Ovis aries: one gene and its partner. The protein of the gene in region 1 purifies or fractionates together with the protein of each later gene. This does not show direct contact. Links are inferred from orthologs where the notes say so. Each region holds a gene or a part of one and is shown on either strand. Other genes may lie near its edges.

Evidence for each region. Proteins that work in one complex are often made in the same cells at the same time.
Region 2: the proteins of OTUD6B (region 1) and OTUB1 fractionate together in Homo sapiens (co-fractionation; 4 studies listed by BioGRID and IntAct, with this or other methods). This does not show direct contact. The link is inferred for Ovis aries from reciprocal best matches to the Homo sapiens genes OTUD6B and OTUB1.

What each region holds. Positions count from the first base shown.
Region 1 is NC_056062.1:86,240,269-86,243,916, forward strand, and holds part of OTUD6B (deubiquitinase OTUD6B), read right to left. Parts: intron 2,823-3,648; coding exon 2,510-2,822; intron 928-2,509; coding exon 866-927; intron 1-865.
Region 2 is NC_056074.1:38,767,220-38,770,967, forward strand, and holds the start of OTUB1 (ubiquitin thioesterase OTUB1), read left to right. Parts: upstream 1-1,218; 5' UTR 1,219-1,239; coding exon 1,240-1,297; intron 1,298-3,464; coding exon 3,465-3,526; intron 3,527-3,748. UniProt on the Homo sapiens protein: Hydrolase that can specifically remove 'Lys-48'-linked conjugated ubiquitin from proteins and plays an important regulatory role at the level of protein turnover by preventing degradation.

The DNA of each region.
Region 1 (3,648 bases):
ATAGCCTTTGCTTTGTTTAGTATATACAAATGGACTATCATGTACACATGGGGTTTTATTATCCTCATTCAATAATCAGGAAACTGGAGCTCAAGAGGTTGGCTGACTCCCCCAAAGTCAGAAAACTGAGAAGTAGAAGGAACCAGCACCCAGCCCCCAGACTTTCCCTGTTACTCCCTGACTTCTAACACCCCAAGCTACCTTATCACCATCTGCACACTCGGGGGTTTTATTTTCCTTTAATGAAACAAAGATAACAGTAAAATAAATAATTAGAGCTTTAAAAAAAATCATGATTAACTCCCTACAAATGACTAAACATATTTTCTTGCAAGTAAATTTTAATGCATTAAATACTGCTTTCAAATCAGTCAGTATCAACTAGGAACTCAAGACACAATTGTAATAGATGTGTTATGGTAGGATTTGACCTGTAATCTCACATTAAAATATTGTTTTCTATTTCTGACATTTTCCAATGTGATTTTCATCAGTTGAGCCACTTGGGTAAAATTTTACTGTATTTGAGAAAATCTTCACTTTCATAAGTCCATAAACTCAAATATATTGCCTGTAGCAAGATCACAAATGGAAATATGCAGACAACACTAGCTTCACCAACTCACAGATCAAACACTGGGCTATTTAAAATTAAACAGTGCTTCAGTTCCCAAAGGTACATAATTAAATTAAAGGCCTAAGAATATTAACTCCTTTTATCAGTGTTTTATCGGGAGAGAAATAGCAAATATATAAAGAAAAGGAATTGTCAAAGAAAAATTTGGGTCACCTGAAAAATATGTCTGGAAACTACAGAAGGGATTTAAAAATAATTTAACAATTTCATGATGAATAACAAACTTACCTCAAGTTGACCCCCCCATGCTGCTGTGTTTACAATATCATCACAATACTTTCCAAACTCTTCTGTAGGAAACAGATCAGAATATAGCACTTTTTAGAATTCATATTAGATCCCTTTTATAATTCCCACAATGCCTGATGAAACTGCCCAAGTTACGAACTTCCTCTTTCTCCACATATATCCTCCAGAATTTAATCCATTTCCCAAATCCAAACTTAACTCACTCCATCTTTCCATCCAAGAGCAAAGCAATTCATCTGTTTCTCTCTCTCAACCTGAAGTCTAGCAATCTCAACTAAATTATAAGCCTACCTCTCTCTTGATCCAAGCACTGACCCCAAAATTGCCACCACATTCACATTGCAAAATCCAAATCTGCATCTGAAAGAATATGCTACAAGATTAAAAGATGCATCCTCTGTAAAACAGGCTTCACTATAAAACCCTATAAGAAATGTGAGAAGAAAATCAAAGTACAAATGAGTTGAAACTCCTTTCCCAGTGACCATTTGATGACAGTGACATCAAACAGTGCCTACATATTTTGGAAATGTTTACTTTATTGTTCTAGCCAAAAAACAGTCTTCCTGTATCAGTCTTAAGAGGAGGTAAAAGACCTAACTTCAGAGTTAGGCATATCTTAAGCATACACACTGCTGTTATACAGAAAGTTAAAGTCAGGAAAAAACACTAACACCGTTGGTGTTTAGAGGAAGAGGAAAAAAATTATGGGCATCTAGGAGAAAACACGTTCCATATGCCCGTCTTATTCACTGTCTCACATCCCCAGTGATGAGAACAGTGCATCAGCATGCTGCGGCCCTCAATAAACACTGACTGAAGGACTGGGGATTACAGCTTTTGTCTTTTTCTTTGATTCACCAAGCTGAGGTATCACCTCCTCTCCCATGCGCTACAACTAGCACAGCTGGGGACTTCATTAAACAAAAGCCAACCCTAGCCTTCCCCTCTTCAATCCACCCTGACCATATGACTTACTCTCAGGGGATACTGCCACGTCTGCTGTCTTATCTCAAAGACTAACTTTCTCCCTTACTCCCCTTTTGCTTTCAGAAACTTTTTCAAGTTTTTACTCGTTTCCTCCTTTATTTGCTAGTTGTACATATTTTTTTTTAACCTTCTCAACTATCAAAGATATTATACAGACTAATAAGGCAGGTTTTGCAGTCATATTCTGCCTGAATATTATGACTTATTAAGAATAAAATTAAATCTTCCAAAGTACAGGATAAAAGGAAGAATTAGTTTTCCTAACCATTCTCTACTGATCGTCTTCAGATTCAATACTTGCAGAGACTAGGCAAAGCTTAACTTTGTGAAATATGAACTTATTTACACACTTTTAAAACTAGTAATATAAACCCTATTCCTATTTTTATCTTAAGATTAATATTTTCAACTACAAAATAGTTAAGTACTTAAAAAGATCTTGATAAACAAAAATGTGCTATCATCTACCAAAGTCATAGAAAATAATTTTGCCTAAATGTTGAGATGTTTTCCCCCCATAGGACTATTCAGGCTTTCTTTTTTTTTTTTTCATTCTCAGTTCCAGAAACCACTTTACTTAATAACCATCACAGCTACAACAGCAACAAGACGTAGCAGAGAAAAATAAATTACCTGGAGTATACATTTCTCCTGTATTAGGATTTGTTAAAAATGGCAGAAAGTCTTCCACATGACTCTGCATATAGTTAGCAGTCTGACACCTTAAGGCAGCCACAGTCAGAACGCCGTTCTGCTCTTGCAGCTGATCTTCAATGGCTCTATACATACAGTGCCCATCAGATGGAATCTGTTTAATTTCCAATTGTCTAGCTGCCAATATTTGAGCAAGTTTTTCACTTTCTACATGTCTAGCTCCAGTTAAGTTTTCAATTTCAGCTTCGGCTATCCTTTCTTCCCGCTCCTTTTCCAATGCAGCCTTTTTGTCCTATGCAGAAGGTAAAATGTAGGAAAGTTAATTCCTAATAATTAAGACTCATTTACATTTATCATGGGGACAGAAATATAAGATTCTCAAAAACATTTTTCTCCCTTCTCCCACAAGCACTATCAGATAGATGATCTCATCACCTGTAGAATTTTCTATACTGTGAACTCTTCTAAAGGCAAACAATATTTCTCATCTGTGTGTACCCAGCATGGAGCTGTCTTGGAACAAAAGAAGGCTCTCAAATTTTTCTGTGAAGTCTGTCTGAAACTATACGCCAAGTTTCTAAAAACTTGACTTACTGATTTCAAAGTACTATGGTAGACTGAGCTGTCCTAGGCCTTAAAGTAATATCATTATCATACTTAAGTCCAAGCTTTATAACTTATTACTCTACCAGTGAGGTCTTAATGTGCTAGATCACCAGTTCATGAGCAAGGCATTAATTTGCTTAGGTCTTTAGAATGGTATAGCAGCTCTATTTATCCGGCATTAAAAAAAAAAAAATTGTGCACATACACACATTTAGCTTAAGTAACAGATAAAAGCATTCTTCTCTATTAAAAAAACTATTACAGATAATCTAAAGTCCCCCTTAAGGACCACTGCCAATCTCTCAGCCTGCTCTAGAGATCTGATATGTATCCCTCTAGATTTTTTTCCTATGCATTTTAATAAATACAGATGTATTCATAGAAAATCTACAGAAAACAGTATTTTAACAAAAGTACTATCATCCATTACATTCTTCAACTTGCTTTCCTTCTATTCAAATTTCCTAAGAAATCTTCCCATACCAACATATGCAAAGATGGGATGAGGAGAA
Region 2 (3,748 bases), on another chromosome or scaffold:
AGCAAACACAAGGATTGGTGGTGACCTAGGAAATAGTAATTTGCCATGTTGCTGGGGCAAAGACTTGGCATGTGTAGCGTTGCTGTGAGAGCGCCACTGTGGGCAGTGTGGTGAGCCCAGGCACCAACCGTCCCTACTCCAGAACTGGATGTAGCTCATGAAGATATTCATCCTATTCTGCACCTGTATTATCATGAACGGAGGGATCTGATTGGGGCTCAGACACGGCCTCCTCAAGTGCTAAGAGACCACTGTCATATCATGGAAAAGGCCCTCCATAGAGAAAGGCAAAGGAACAGTACCCCTGAAGGTGACTTCTCTAAATAACTGCATCTTCAGCATCCAAGGCCTTGACACTTTTTAAGTTTTATTTTTAGATAATTCACAGGTGATTTTAACAGAGTACACAGAAAGATCCTGGGTATCCTTTACCCACTTTCCCCCACTGGTAACATCTTGCGTTTGAAGCTACAGTACAGCATATTCCAGGATCTCCATATATATTCAAGATAAAGAGCACTTCTGTCTCCACAAGGATACTTCTGTTTCATTTTTATAACCACATCCACTTCCCTCCTTACTCCGACTCAACCCTTGGGAACCACGAATCTGTTTTTCATTGTTGTCAACTTCTATCTTAAAAAAAAAAAAAATCCTGATTTTCTCATAACCACAAGGGCAGGTAGTCCAAAGTAAGGTCGACCCCGAGGGACGTGGTCTCTCGGTCAGAAGCAGGACACCAAAGCCCGCTCGGAACCGAGACTCGGTGGAGGGGGGCGGTGAATTCCCAGAGCTCGGATATTAGCAGAATTCCCGGTCTCCTCGGCCAAGTGATCCTCATTGCATTCGCCTGTCTTGAGTTCTGGAGCCCGCAGCGGGAATTGCCTTCCGTGATTTGAATTTCATTTTCCTGCTTATCTCAATAATACAATCCGCGTTTCAAACTCTAGTGAAAAGAAAACTCAAGTGGCCCCAGGAAGCTCTTATCACCACCTGGCACATTGGGAGCCTGGAAAGATGGAACCGAGCAAGTGTGCGGGAGGAGGGCGGGCGGGGATTGCCCTCACTTCCCCGGCTTCCGCCGCCGCCGAACGAGACTGCGAGCCCCTCGGGTGACTACGCCCGAGGGGATCCCGTTGCTAGGGGCGTTACCAAGGAGGGGCCTCGAGGAGGGGCTGTCTTCCGGGGGGAGGCCGACTAGTAACCCGGAAGCGGTCGGCAGTGCGGCGCTGTTTAAAGATGGCGGCGGAGGAACCTCAGCAGCAGAAGCAGGAGCCGCTTGGCAGCGACTCCGAAGGTACCGACCAGGGGAGAGCCGCCCGGCCTGGGCTAGCGGGGGCGATGCCGGATGGCCGGTTCCCGAGGAAACCAGGGCTGGGGCGGCTGGCGGCGAAGCGAGCGGAGGGCCCCTTCCCCCGCGTCCGCCGCCTCCCCTCCCCCTCACAATGGAAGGAGCCGCCGCCGCGACCCCTGGCCGGCCGGGCGGCGGGAGAGAAAGCGGGCCGGCCTCCGGCCCGCGACTCTTCCCTGTCGCGCGCTCCTGGGGCGGGGCCTAGGCCGCTCCGCCCCTCCACCCCCCGCCCAGCCCCCTCCCCGCTGGGCGTCCGGCTCCCGGGTCCCGGCTCTCCCGCCCCGGACCTGGCAGTCAGGCCCGGGCCTAGTCCGGCCCCGTCTAGTCCGCCTCCTCCAGAGCGGCCCGAGCCCGGGAGGGCGTCGAATTACGCCGGGCTGCGGAGCACAAAGGACTGGGCGGGCCGCTGGGGATGCTGCGGGCCGCCCGGGGTTGTGAGCGGCCGTAGGTGTGTGCCCAGGAGGGCAGCGCCCTTCGTTTCCGGTAGAGTCCCCTCTCCTAGCCTCGCAGCCCCTTGCTTCCTGTCTCGGCATAGTTTCCTTAGACCCCTGAAGAGTTGGACCTCTCAAAACGGTCCCACCCTCTTCTTTTCACCCCTGAGTTAGACACTGGGGACTGAGGAGGTCACTAGGGTTGGGAGGGATGGCCCAGTTGCAGTGCAGTGTCGGGGGTGGGTGGAAGCCCAGCTGAGGCCCCGGCCTGCTCAAGATCAAAAGGATTGGCCTTAAAAGTCATTTAGCACACAGCTCCCTCTCTAACCGCACACTGAAAAACAGCTTTTGGGGACCTAGACCCTCCCCCCAATCCCCGAAGGGACTGGTTTAGGATCGTGTAAGTTAAGAAAGAACCAGAGCCAGGATTCAGGTCTCCTGGCTCCTCACCAGTGGCTGCTTGGCATGGGGCCCACAGGGTGGACCCGCCCAACTCAGTGATGAGTATTGAACTACACCTCTTAAGGTACCATCTCCTCAGGGCATCACAGTGAAGGGAGGAAGGTGGTGCTATCTGTCTCTATTCACAGCTGATGATGAGCCTCTGCAGTGAGGTGCCAGGGGAGTTATTGTGGCAAAGAGCCCAGGCTTTGCAATTAGACAAACCTGGGATTGACCACAGGTCTTCCTCGTCGCGACTTCGGGCAGGTGATTTCACCTGTCTGCGTTTTTGTTCTTTGTAAAATGGGCACCACTACGAATACCCAGGATGGCAGGTGGAGGAATGGTGTGACTGAGGAAAGCAAAGCGCTCATCTAGCCGAAGATGGTCTGCTTCCTCATCTGTCTTTCCTCAATAGACCTGGCTCAGGGGCCTTCCGGGCTGCTCGGAAGTGATGTTAGAGAGCAGGGGGAGAGGGCTTGTTCGAGCTGGAAGAGTGTACCCTGGGGGGCGATCACCTTGGCCTGCTTACTTTATTTTCCACCATTTATTTATACTTATTTGGCTGTGCCAGGTCTCAGTTATGGCATGTGGGATCTAGTTCCCAGACCAAGGATCAAACTCAGTGTAAGATCGGACCCCGGGGGGCCATGATGGGCCGCCCCTTCCCTCCCCCGTCGGCGGGGGAAGTCCCTAAGGAAGGGGCCTCCCAGATCCCGGGGACCAGTGACAGCACAGTTTGCCAGCTAAAGCTGCCCCACCTCCGCCACGTAGAAGGACGTATCAGCCCGTGACGCCTCGGCCCGGCAACCTATCCAAACCCCCATCCACTAACCTGGCCATCCCTCGCAGCGTGCATATATAAACAAACTTCTAACACGTTCTGGGCGGGTCCGGGAACCCCGCCCGGGAGCGCTTCGCCATTAAAGCCTGTTAGACACTCTTTTGGTGTCCTGGTCGTCTTTTACCTAACACCCAGGCCCCCTTGCATTGGGAGCTCGGAGCCTTAGCCACTGGACCTCCAGGGAAGTCCCTGGCCTCCTCCCTTTAAAGATGAGATAACTCATGCCCAGGAAATGGAAGGACTTTGCCAAGATCCCACAGTTGGGGTGGAGCAGGGCATGATGCATGCTTCCAGATTGCACGTCTGCTCTCCTGGCCCGTTCTTGTCCTCGGCCCAGCTTCCTGGAGTGGGGAGAGCCAGGGCCCACTGTAATACTTGGCCTTCTTCCTTTTTCCAGGTGTTAACTGTCTTGCTTATGATGAAGCCATCATGGCTCAGCAGGACCGAATTCAGCAAGAGGTGAGTGGCTGTGGCCAGTGGCCTTACTTTGGGGATACATTGGTTGGACTGAGGCCTACCGTTTGTCTTTACTGTGGAAGCTCCCTCCTCCCCAGGCTGAGCTGATACTAGATGCCTTTATGGGGAGAATGTGAGGTCCATGTGCCGCTGGGTGACTGGCCCAGCCACTCTCAGCTAGATGTTCGGGCTGACAGGTGTGGGTCACTCCATTTGCCTGTCAGA